Cricetulus griseus: one gene and its partner. The protein of the gene in region 1 binds, or shares a complex with, the protein of each later gene. Links are inferred from orthologs where the notes say so. Each region holds a gene or a part of one and is shown on either strand. Other genes may lie near its edges.

Evidence for each region. Proteins that work in one complex are often made in the same cells at the same time.
Region 2: the proteins of Klhl12 (region 1) and Pef1 are in contact, whole or in part, in a crystal structure (PDB 8RBH), measured with the Homo sapiens proteins. The link is inferred for Cricetulus griseus from reciprocal best matches to the Homo sapiens genes KLHL12 and PEF1. Residues at the interface, in NP_067646.1 of Homo sapiens: Phe289, Gln293, Arg320, Tyr321, Leu371, Glu417, Tyr434, Ile439, Phe481, His486, Cys511, Tyr512, Tyr528, Leu533, Cys558; in NP_036524.1 of Homo sapiens: Gly15, Gln16, Ala17, Pro18, Gly19, Ala20, Pro21, Pro22.

The regions. Positions count from the first base shown.
Region 1 is NC_048598.1:54,783,689-54,789,588, forward strand, and holds the start of Klhl12 (kelch-like protein 12), read right to left. Parts: upstream 4,065-5,900; 5' UTR 3,928-4,064; intron 3,913-3,927; exon of another isoform or gene 3,592-3,912; intron 485-3,591; exon of another isoform or gene 447-484; 5' UTR 441-446; coding exon 246-440; intron 1-245. UniProt on the Homo sapiens protein: Substrate-specific adapter of a BCR (BTB-CUL3-RBX1) E3 ubiquitin ligase complex that acts as a negative regulator of Wnt signaling pathway and ER-Golgi transport.
Region 2 is NC_048595.1:22,915,185-22,921,199, reverse strand, and holds the start of Pef1 (peflin), read left to right. Parts: upstream 1-1,950; 5' UTR 1,951-2,363; coding exon 2,364-2,438; intron 2,439-2,752; coding exon 2,753-3,026; intron 3,027-6,015. UniProt on the Homo sapiens protein: Calcium-binding protein that acts as an adapter that bridges unrelated proteins or stabilizes weak protein-protein complexes in response to calcium.

The DNA.
Region 1 (5,900 bases):
CAGGGCAGGGATCCTACATTTTTGACCAAAGAATGGTCTTTTGTTGGGATACAACATCTGTGACTGAGCATCCCCCACAGAAGACACAAACAAACAGTGAAGAAAGAAAGGGACACTCACCTAGCTGGCCAGAGAATTCAGACAAATCACCAATACATGCTATTCTGCTCTTTGAAATAAGAGCAGAATGTATGAAACAAGTTACATACGTGAATTTCACTTATGGAGCAATGACTTGCACTTACCTCACTAGTGAACATGGCACAGAAATAATCACTGCAGGCAGCCAGCACAATCCGGTGGGCAGGGAAGTCTTTCTGCTCTACTCTCAAGGTCACATCACAGAGGGTGTTGCTCTTCCTGAGGGAGTTCATGGAGTTGAGGATGGACTTGGCATGAGTATTTGTCATTATGTCTTTGGGGGCCATAATGCCGCCCATCAAGCACTATGGAGAAAGAACAAAGTAATCCTTGGATGATGCAGCTACAAGAGAAAAGAGACCATATTTGAAGAAGTGGGAAGCTGAATACACAATTAGCTTTACAAATTAAGGAACTAAAAAGGGGCTTCCTTAAACACAAACTTCCACAAGTCCAGAGCATGCCCGACCCTGGCACCACTACCATAATCTAGCTAACACCAACTTAAGTTATCTCTTCTGCCTCCAAATTCTACTAGTTCTACATCTTTGTATTCAACCAAGTAAGGATCAAAATATTCAAAAGGTAAAGTATTGACTTTGAACATGTACAGACTTTTATTATTTTCCCTAAATAACACTATCTTAGTCAGGGTTACTAATGTTGTGATAAAACACCACGATCAAAAAGCAACTTGGGAGTCAGGTGTAATGGCTCACACCTTTAAATCCCTGCACTTGGGAGGCAGAGGCAGGCAGATGTCTTGAGATTGAGGCCAACCTGGTTTAAAGAGTGAGTTACAGGACAGCCAAGGTTACACAGAGAAACACTGTCTCCAAAAACAAGCAAAATCAACAAAAAAGCAACTTGGGGAGGAAAGGGTTTATTTGGCTTACAGATCCCAAGTCACAGTCCACTGTAGGAACTCAAACCAAGTGGAACTGATACTCCAGGAAATGATGCAGAAGCCATGGAGGGGAGGCTCATTGACTTGTTCCTTATGACTTGCTCAATTTACTTACTTTTCTTTCTTTTTTCTTTTCTTTTCTTTCTCTTGTTTTTTGAGACAGGGTTTCTCTGTTGTAGTCCTGGCTGTCCTGGCACTTGATCGGTAGACCAGGCTGGCCTCAGCTCACAGACATTTGCTCGCCTCTCCCTCCCAAGTGCCAGGATTAAAGGAGTGCAGTACTACCACCTGTGTTCTTAAAGAACACAGGACCAAGAGACCAGGGGCAGCACAGTGAGCTAAGCATTCCACCATCAATCACTAGTTAAGAAAATGCCCTACCAAATTCACTGCACCCTGATCTTCTATAGGCCTTTTCTTAAATAAGGTTCCCTCCTCTCAGATGACCATAGCTTGTGTCATACTGACATAAAATCAGCCAGTACAAAAACAACAATTTTATTGTTTTAGGTATGAGTAATCCAGAGTGTGTGCATGGAGTATATGCAAATACTATGCATATCATTCTATATGACTTCAGAGCCAGGTGTAGTGGAGTATCCCCCATAATTCAAGCACTTGGGATACAGAGGTAGATTGCTTCAAGCTGAAGGTCACCGTAGTCTACATAATGAGTTCCAGGACAGCCTGGGCTCCATCTCAAAAAACCAAACCAAAGACTAGCACACTCAGATTTTGCTATCTGTGGATTCCTGTAACTAATTCCCTATGAGTATCAGAGAATGACCAGAACCCCGAAGTTCACGTATATGCATCAGTTGAATAATTATGTATTTGAAAAGCAATGTGAGGAATACTTTCCTGAGTGGGAAGATTTTAGTAGTGCTATTTTCCTCCTCAGAACCCTTATTGGGGAATGCGATGGAGGTGGTTATGAGAACAATCTTTTACTTTCTGAAATGAACCAAGAAAAGAAACTCAAGACCTGGCCATGATGGTGCACACCTTAATCCCAGCACTCGGGAGGCAGAGGCAGGCAGGAGCTCTGTGAGTTCGAGACTAGGTTGGTCTACAACAGCTAGTTCCAGGACAGCATCCAAAGTCACAGAGAAACCCTGTCTCAAAAAACCAAAAAACAAAACAAAAACAAAGCTAGTAGTAGTCAGGGAACTTCACCCCCTCTGGAGGCTGCTGCATCAGCTTGCTAGACAGGGTCTCTCCCTCAGTAGGGTAAACAATTTAATAAACCTTGTGCATTTGCATTGGTGGTCTGTCTCCCTGGTATCTTTGGGGATCCTTGTTACTCAGGAACAACATTTATAAGCCGGGCATTGGTGGCGCACGCCTTTAATCCCAGCACTTAGGAGGCAGAGGCAGGCGGATCTCTGTGAGTTGGCCAGCCTGGTCTCCAGAGCGAGTGCCAGGATAGGCTCCAAAGCTACACAGAGAAACCCTGTCTCGAAAAACAAACAAACAAACAAACAAACAAAGAAACTCTTCTTCCAAAGTTCACAATCATAATTTCTGAAAAGTTGAGGTTCTAAGTTCTCATCTCTTGTTTAGTTACATTAAAAGCACCTCCAACAACTCCACAACCTCTATTTTACAAAAAAGGGGATGATTCTCTAAAGCAAATTGTTTTCGTTTTTAAAAGCTTTCCTAAAGTTAACATAGTTTCAATTGTGAGCCACAAGAAACTCTAGGGATTTGTTGAATTCTCAGTAAGGGTCTGAAGATTATGAAATTTTCCTGGTGTCTTACTACAGGCAGGGCTCAGCCTGTGATTGGAACTTTTAAGGTTGGTGTCAAAACTGACAGTAACCCCAGTCTAGCAACCCTCCTCCCAGCACAAAGCTCCTGAGCACATCCTTTACCTTTTAGAAACGCCATATTCTAGAACTTGTGCTAATATCTGAATAGAGGGGTTCCATTTTGAATGGGGGGGAGGGGCATCAAATTCTAGAAGACTAAAATGAAAAGGAAAAAAATAACGTCGTTCTCCCCTGCCAACGCCAAGCTTACCATCATCAAGTATTAGAAAGACCTGGATAGGTAGGGCAAGGAGTTAGATATGCGGTAGTCATGGAAAACTGCATCTGTATCTTGGTAGCTGTGTCTCCTGGTTAGGTGGGGACTTAACGCACGCCAGAACGCAGGAAACCAACCAAATTGCACTAAGCCTTCCCATGGTCAGCATGCACCTCTCTGGCGAAGCATCCGTGAAGCTAAATTTGGGATATTCCCACTGTATCAGAAACCAAGGCATCAGAGTGCTTAACGAATTGCCAACATGCACGTTATTCAAGAAGGGATTGCAAAAAGACTCTGGCTTCATTACAATGTGTTGCGGTTTCGACACCAGCACCTTGATTTTTTTTTTTTCAAGATCACATTGTGGGGGGGTGCCCTACAACGGAACATGAGGTTCACTATAATTTGCGAGGGCAAGGGTGTTGCATGAATATACCATGCACCTCATCAGTTCTCTTTAAAAACTCCTTTAAAATGCCCAACGCAGACCCCAATGCGCTGCTCCCACCTACCTTCCGAGAAAGCCCACTCCAATCTTTGGAGTATGTAGCTTTGCTTTGTTAAATAAACTTCGCCTTAACTGTTTCTCGGCCGAATTCTTTCCTTTCAGGTGAAACCTTCTCCCGGGGCAGGCAGGCAGGCAGGCAGGCAGGCGGGCAGGCAGGCGGGCGGCAGGCAGGCAGGCAGGCAGGCAGGCGCTGCTCCGGGGAAGCAGAGAAGCCACCGCTAACCCCGGGGCGCCCCACCGAGTCTCCGCCCGATCCGGGGGTCACCAGGGCTGGGGGAAGGCCGCACCCCAGAATGAGGGCAGAAGTGGAAGGCCGGGTGTCACCGCCGCATCCACTCACCTGGGCTCCGTGGACGCCCAAGCGGAGGGGCTGGGCGCGGGGCTCTCAGGCGGCTGAGCAGCCGGAGCGCCGCCGCCGCCGCCGCCCGGACCAGCCGCTGCGGAGCAGTCTCTGTGGTACTCCAGTCTCTAGGCTCGTCAGCCGCGCGGCGTGATGACGTCGCGCAACGGGAGGGGCGACCCTCTCCTAGGTCACGTCACGTTAGGGAGGCCAAGCGGAGGGGCCCTGCGTACCTGGGGGTTCAGAAAACGGGAAAGAGAAAGTGGAAGGGTGGACGGAGTGGGACGTGCGGCGCGGGAGCGTGGGCCGGAGGCGAAGGGTTCGAGGCTGCCGGTCCCCACACACGGTACGGCAGGCGGCTGCGTCCCCCTCACACTCAGCAGTCCCCCGCAACTTCAAAATTGCCCAGGTCAGTTGTGAACAATCAGGCTGCCTGTCGCCGTGGGACCTTCTTAGGCCCTGTGACCGCAGGCCTCTGGGCCCTGAATGGGCCTGTCAACCATGAGGCGATGACTTCCTTCACTCCCAGCCAAGGGGAAGGAACTTGTGGATTGACTAAACTGTCAGAAATTGGACACAGTGAGGGAAACTGCAAAGGACCTTCTCAAAGAGGACACTAGTCATCTCTATTGCATTGACCCATCACCATGTCATTCATTAGTGCTGAAGTTGTTAGGAATTTTGCTTCTCGTTGATTTCAAGTTTACCTTGTGGCTGAGAAGGGAAAGGTATTTCTTGGTTTAGCGTATATGAATGAATAAATTGGATTATCCTGCTTTTCTCTGTACAACATTTGGTTCTGTTTGTTTTGTTTTTCGAGATAGGGTTTCTATGTGTAGCCCCGGACTGTCTTGGAACTCGCTCTGTACATCAGGTTGGCCTCGAACTCACAGAGATCCTCCTACCTATGCCTCCCGAGTGCTGGGATTAAAACCTTGTGCCACCACGCTTGGCAAACATTTGGTTTTTTAAAGATCATAAAGTGTAGTCAAGTGGGCAGCTTTAGTGTTTCCTTCGTGTCATATCTTCCTGATCCCAAAATGTTCCTGAATTTTAAATATGGTGGATGGAGTACAATGCAGAACTGATAGAAATTCTATTGAGGGCTCTTTGGATTTATTTGTTGAAATGATTAATATAGATATATTTTGATTGTTTTTTGTATCCTAGACATTGGACTGTTTGTCGTGTCCCCAGGCAGGAGTGCCTCCCCAAAACTTCTAGAGTAGATAAATGTAAGGTAGCTAGAACAGGAACCAATGCCCTCTTCTGACCTCCTTGGTCACCAGGCACATACATGGTGCACATACATACATACAGGCAAAACATTTATACACATAAAACATTATTTACTAGCTTTCTTGGCCTTCTCTGACTGTTTCTGCTTTTACATGTAAACATTTTCTTAATAGACTTTTTGCCCTTTTTCTTTCATCTAGGCAAATGCTTTCCTGACAAACAGAAAACACAAGTTATTCAAGAATTTTCTTGAGAGCTGGGCATTACACATGTAAACCCATACTTGGGAGATGACAGCAGGAGAGAGGGAATTCAAGAGTAGCTCAGCCTTCGTGGGAAATTCTATCCTAAAAACAGTAGCAACAAAAGCTGGAAGTGTAGCTAGCATATGAGAAGCCCAAAATGGATGGAGGTAGCAGGATAGAGAGTTTCTTTGGGATTTTTTTTAATTTTTGGTTTTTCGAGACAGGGTTCCTCTGGCTGTTCTGGAACTCACTCTGTAGACAGGCTGGCCTTGAACTCACAGAGATACACTTGCTTCTGCCTCCCAAGTGCTGGGACTAAAGTTGTTCGACAACCTATTCTTTGGGTCTTTACCATTTATAATAATTGAGTTGCTAAGGCTCCAATGTAATGCAGGACCTCGTTCTCTATAGGTAGTAAGGGAAAAGGGCCCGTGGTGAAAACTGCAAATCACTCATATTGCAATGAAAACCGAGTCCGGGGTTTAAAGT
Region 2 (6,015 bases), on another chromosome or scaffold:
TGCTTTGTACTTCTGCCTCACGCCACCCAGCTCCATCCCAAGCCTGAGACATCAAGAGGTTGGATTATTAAAGGTATTTCTATATTAGATCTATCTGTAATTAGGATATAAAATTAAATGTAATAGAAGAGGTAAAGAGGAACCCCTTCCAACAAATGTTTTGACTTGATTTTAGGTAACTGGACTCTAAAAGTTTTGTTTGCCCAGATTTTTTTTCCTCCAGATGTCATTGATTCTGACTACATTAGTCAGATTCACATTATAGGTTATTGCCAGCTGCTCCAAGAAATTCCAGCTCTAACTCAGTTGATAAAATTGATTATTAATCCTTATCCCACCCTATAGACACTGATAACAGGCTAAGGAAGAACTTGATTCCACAGGGCACACTGGACTCAGTTGGTATTTCTAACAGCCAGATTCCCATGAAGGGCATTAGAGACATAGCAGCTGGTGTCTCCATTATAGTGTAATAACTCTGGCCTAGTTGGCACATTGAATCCCCGGTTTTAGACATTCAAGGAATTGGTGACAAAAGTAATCCCCCACTTTTGTAAGTACAGAAACCTTACGTGCAGTTTTCCAAAATCAAACTGCTGTTTTCCACTTCTTTGTTTTACCCTTATCTTTCTCCCTTGTGGCAGTGGGGTTGTGACAGCCCCTGAATATCCCTTTCCCTCAGGGCCATGAGAAACACCTACCTAAGCTTTCTTGGATCAAAGGTCCCCCTAACTGGGGACAAACGTAAGCAATTATGTCAGCTAATCCAAGAACAACTTCAGCCAGACCATATAGAACCCATTGTTCAGTGCTGTTATCTATCTTCTATCTTCCCCAAAATCTGTTAAATGGAGGCTTTTATGTGATCTCCATGTTATTAATGCTCCTTTTCATCTCTTGGAGCCATCCAGCCTGGAGTTCCACCTCTCCTATGTTTATAGTTACTGATTTAAAATAATTGCTTTTTTTTTTTTTTTTTCTATTCCATTATGCCCTGGTCATCAAGAATTGCTTTCTCAGTGCCTCCTGTCAATAAGCAAACACCTATATCTCCCTTCCAATGGCAAGTACTTCTCCAGCTGCCAGTGGTGGGTATATAGTATAGTACTACCGCTAAAAAGGCAATACACTCTATTAGATAAAAGTCTTCAGATACTTATTACATATTTCAGTATATGGATGATATCCAATTAGCCTCTTATACTAAAGTATATGTCTGTTTTAAAGGATTTACACACTTCAATACAAGTCTCTCTTCATTTGCAGCTTGTCCCAGCAGAGTTCAGCTAGGTGTTCCATGTCTGGTATACATGTCTGGTATATTGTCCATCATCCTTCCCTTGTTGATTACAATGGTCTGTTCCCAAAAAGATAATATTAAATTCTTTTCATTAGCTCTTGGGCAATATCAGTTTGCTTTGGCCTCCCTTGAGAATTCTCAAAGTGGCTTTCCCATCTTTTTGCCTCCCTTACAGATCTTGGACTCATCTCCTTAATTCCTTTTGCTTTACAGTTCCAATGAGTGGCTTGAGCCTGGAAGGAGGACAGCTTAGATTTATGCTCTCTGTTTATCTTGAACACTCCTCTTTCCCTTGCAGCAGGATTCACTCCCTTTTCAGCTATTTTACAATGGTTGTTTCTTCCCAATATACCTAAAACTTTTGTTTTAATCCCAAACCAACAGTGACTCTTATTTACCAGGACAGAACCAGAGTTGTCCAACTTACTGGATAGACTTACTAGACAAGACCCTGATTTGTTGTTGTTTTTCAAGACAGGGTTTCTCTGTATAGCCCTGGCTGTCCTGGAACTCGATCTGTAGACCAGGCTGGCCTTGAACTCACAGAGATTCACCTGCCTCTGCCTCTCAAGTGCTGGGATTAAACTCGTTTGTTTGTTTGTTTGTTTGTTTTCATCCTTCTAGATCTCAGAATAATTTCAACTTCCCTTTGCAAACCTCAGAAGAGTGGCAATTAGCTTTTTGTTTTTGAGAACAAAACTCTTTTCATTCCCTCCTATAAAGACTCTATAGGATTCTGTTACTTCCATGCAGGGCTTTTCTCCAACAAATACACAACCTATTTCCAGGGTTAGGCAAAAGGCAGAGGGCAAGGAGTGGAGGATTCATATGTGGGCTGGCTCTTGGTCAGACTACTCCAGGAGGAAGTTGCTTCGTCTTCCTTCCCTAGTACATTATTGGCATGAGTTAGAGGCTGACAAACCTGAACGGTGGTATTTGGGTTTTGTCCCTACTGCCCTGGGGATAGGCTCCCTGTCTACCTTAGAGTCATGAAGTTAGGGACTATTCGTGCATCTTGAGCTGCTGTGGAGGGTCCATGCTGTGACTACATCACTGGCGGCTGATGAGGGGCGGAGCTTTGTATCAAAGACTGTACTTGTGCTGTGAATTCTGCAGGTGGAGGTCAAGATCCCAAAGGGTGAGCATTCCACTTTGTTCATATATTTACTGAGCATCCATTGTCCCCTGGAGCTAGGGATAAAGCCACAAGTCAAACATGATCCCAGGCCTTGTAGGGCCCTTGATGTACAGGAAAGAGAAGTCAGGAGGATAAGATGCCAGTCTGGACTCTGTATGACCTTGGGTAACAAGTAGCTTCCCTAGAAGCCTCAAGGCCACCTGAGCAGAAATGTAAGTCCAACCTCACCTGTGGGCAGTGCAGGTGCTTTGTAGCTGTAAAGTGCTATGCTGTGGCTTCTTTCCTCACCCTGCTCATGCCTGTTTTTCCTGCAGACTTTCCCGGGAGCTGCAGGACAGGCACCTGGAGCACCCCCAGGTGGCTACTACCCTGGACCTCCCCATGGTGGGGGCCAGTATGGCAGTGGACTTCCCCCTGGCGGTGGTTACGGAGGTCCTGCCCCCGGAGGGCCCTATGGATACCCCAGTGCTGGGGGACTCCCCTCTGGAACTCCCAGCGGACCATATGGTGGTGTACCTCCAGGAGGCCCCTACGGTCAGCCACCTCCAAGTTCCTATGGTGCCCAACAGCCTGGACCTTATGGACAGGGTAAGTAGAACCTTCAGCTCTGGGACCCAGTGTAGAACCTCTGACCTGGTCTAAGCTATCCATGTCCCCTCCTTGTCCTTCCTGAAGATGTGCGTGTGCCCCAGTCTCTGGCACCATAGCCCTTCGCTTCCTGCTTTGCCTATACTGGCCGAATGAGAAGTCCATCAGTTAGCTTTACTGGGCCAACATTCCCAAAGTCCTCTTGGCTTACAACAAGCATTTATTTCTACTGTTTGCTTACTCTCGCTCATGTGTCAGCAACTGTGGGTTGCCAGCTGAGTTTCTGCTCCATGTATCTTTCATTCTGGGACTAGTGCTGAAGGAGCATCCCCTTTGGGGCATGTTGTCCTTAGGGTAGAGGGAAAGAGTAAGAAGCTAGCCGGGCTGGGCGGTAGCTCTGCAGGGTCCACTCAGAAGGACTGATGTCTCATCTACTCATGTTCTTTTGGCCGAAGCACATCCCGTTGTCAAGCTGAACCCCGGCTGGAGATGGTGCTCCTCTCATAGGGTATCTTTGAGCTACCAGGCGGTGGGAGAGGGTGTACAATGCTTGGATCAGGAAGGGGGATCCGAAGATAATTGGAGACAGCAATGTAGTCCATGGGAGAAGAAACTCCGTTCCTGTAGGAGGGTGACTGGCCACATCTGTGGAAAGAAAATATGTCACCAGTGAAAGCTTCTCCAATCAGACCCTGGCCTGCCCAAACTGCCTCTGTAAGCCTCAGTGTCCAGCTCTGTGAAATAGGGACAGTGCCTCACAGGCTGATTAGTAAGGACTAAATGTGAAGCTGCAGCTTAATGCTAGGCATAGCATCTGAACTTAATGGACAGCACTCTGTGAGAGACTTGTAACAGTACAGGAGAATATTGGTGTGAAATGTGATGGTAGCTATGGCAAATAAGAGGATGAAAGAGAAGGGGAAAGAGAGCCGCAGGCTGGAGGGAAGGTATTAGACAAGACAAGGAGGGTTGAGATTGAAGAGCTTTAGCTGGGGTCTCTTAGCAGAGGGCTGGGGAAAGTGGGTGCCAGTCCTTGCTTTTCCCGGGTTCCCTTTAGTCAGCTCCTTCACAGCACTGCTGTTCTCAGGGGCCCAGCACCAGCTAGGCAGCCAGGAACTGCTTTGGCTTATGAGAAGGGCCTCCAGGGAGTGCTGTGCTTAGGAAGCAAACAGCATCTGAATGTACCCAGGCAGGTGGTCCTGGGGGAGATGCCCAAACCTCTGGGGTTCTGCGCCCAGCCAGCCAGTGGCATTTATCTTCTCAGAGCCCAAGCGTCTGGCTGTTGGCTTCCAACTTAGAGGCTCTGCAAATGGATTTCTGTACCCTCCAAAACCTTGTGTCTGAGCTCATAGGAAGTCTGCAGGGAAAGGAGCCCCTGACTCTGAGGGCCTGAAAGTGGCTGTAGTGTGTAGAGCAGGGGAGGAGAGGAGGGGCTCACCTTATGTGCTCAGCCTCCCTCTCATTTGACTGCATTGTTTCCTCTCTAGGGTGGCTAGCAACACCTGGGAGTGGTACTGCATACATCCTGATCTATGCACTTGCCTTAGAGTCCTGGGAAGGTCCACCTCCTGGGTTTGAGTACTAGTATACAACTGTGGGTGACAGAGCTGACCATTGGCGGTGCTCCTCTGTTTGCAGAAAGAGGGCCTCTGGCTGCCGCATTTGCCATCAGCCCTTGCTGTCCATCCAGCAGAGATGCTGTAAATGCATCCTGGGTGTTTCTTTGCTGCCTTCTCCTCCCCCACAGCTCCTCATTCCTTCAAAAGCAGCTGAAATACCCCTTCTCTGAAAATGCCCCCACCACCCGCTTTCCAACCTTTGCTGAGGGCTTCATCTTGCTGTTGTCTCATTCCAAACACTCTTGGACACGGTTCATTTTATAAATATGGAAGTTGGAATTCAAAAAAGTTACTTATCTCATCTGAAGTTGCACAACTAGTAAAAACCAGTTAGGACTTGAATCCAGGTCTACCTTGAATCTAAGGCTGAGTTCTTCTGTTCGAAGCACACAGGCACACTTGTAACAGAAACTCCTCCCTCCCCACTGACCCTGCTTGTTCTAGTTCGGTTTCTGTAAAGAGCACCATGACCAAAAGCAACTTAGAGGAAGAAAGGGTTTATTTGGCTTTCATCAAGGGAAACTGAGGCAGGAAGCTTAAAGCAGAAACCTAGGAGGAGCACTGCTTGCCACCTTGATCTCTTGCTCATTCTTGGGTTCACACTCAGCTAGTCTTTCTCTTCAGCACAGGCCCACCTGCCTAGGGATGGTACTGCCCACGGTGGGCTTCTATATCAACCACCAATAAGACAGTGCCCCACAAACGTGCCCACAGGTCAGTCTTAAAGGAAATCCCCACTCCAAAACCAGGGCTATAAAGTGAACCCAAGGCTTCAAGAAACCCACAGCTCATGGAGTTCCAGAGAGTTAGGCCTGGAGTCCTAGGTCTCAGAAGCAGGAGTCTGACTTCTCTCCCGCCTTACAGTATCAAAAAACAGCTTCTCTAGAAAAAACAGTTTCTGTCCCTACTCTCCACTGCAAAAGCTGATTCTCAGACCCTGTATGGTGGGTGTGTTTTCCTGGACCCTCAGAGGCTGACCTGCAGGGTTCAGAGGTACCTGCCTCTCAGGCCAGTAAAAGTCTAAAGTGTGCTGTCGCTGTTTTGAGGTCACACTAAGTGTCCTTTCATTTTCCTCCACTGACCTGTCTCTTAGAGCTCTGACCTGAGCAGACCTCAGTTGAGACCATTTGTGTCAAGTCAACAGTAAATGCTACCCAGTGCACTGTTTAAGGTGGGCAAGCCGGCCTGGGTCTCCTACACTAGACCTTCAGTGAGGCAAGCCAGCCTGGGTCTGCCCTCCACAGTGCCCGTGTCTGTTTCTGATACCTTCTTATGTGCAGAATCCCCTTTTGTGGTCAGTTAGCCCTGCTTCACTAAGACAGATGAGTCTGCTTCTCCACCTTTGTCACTCCATCCCTCAGGCCATTACA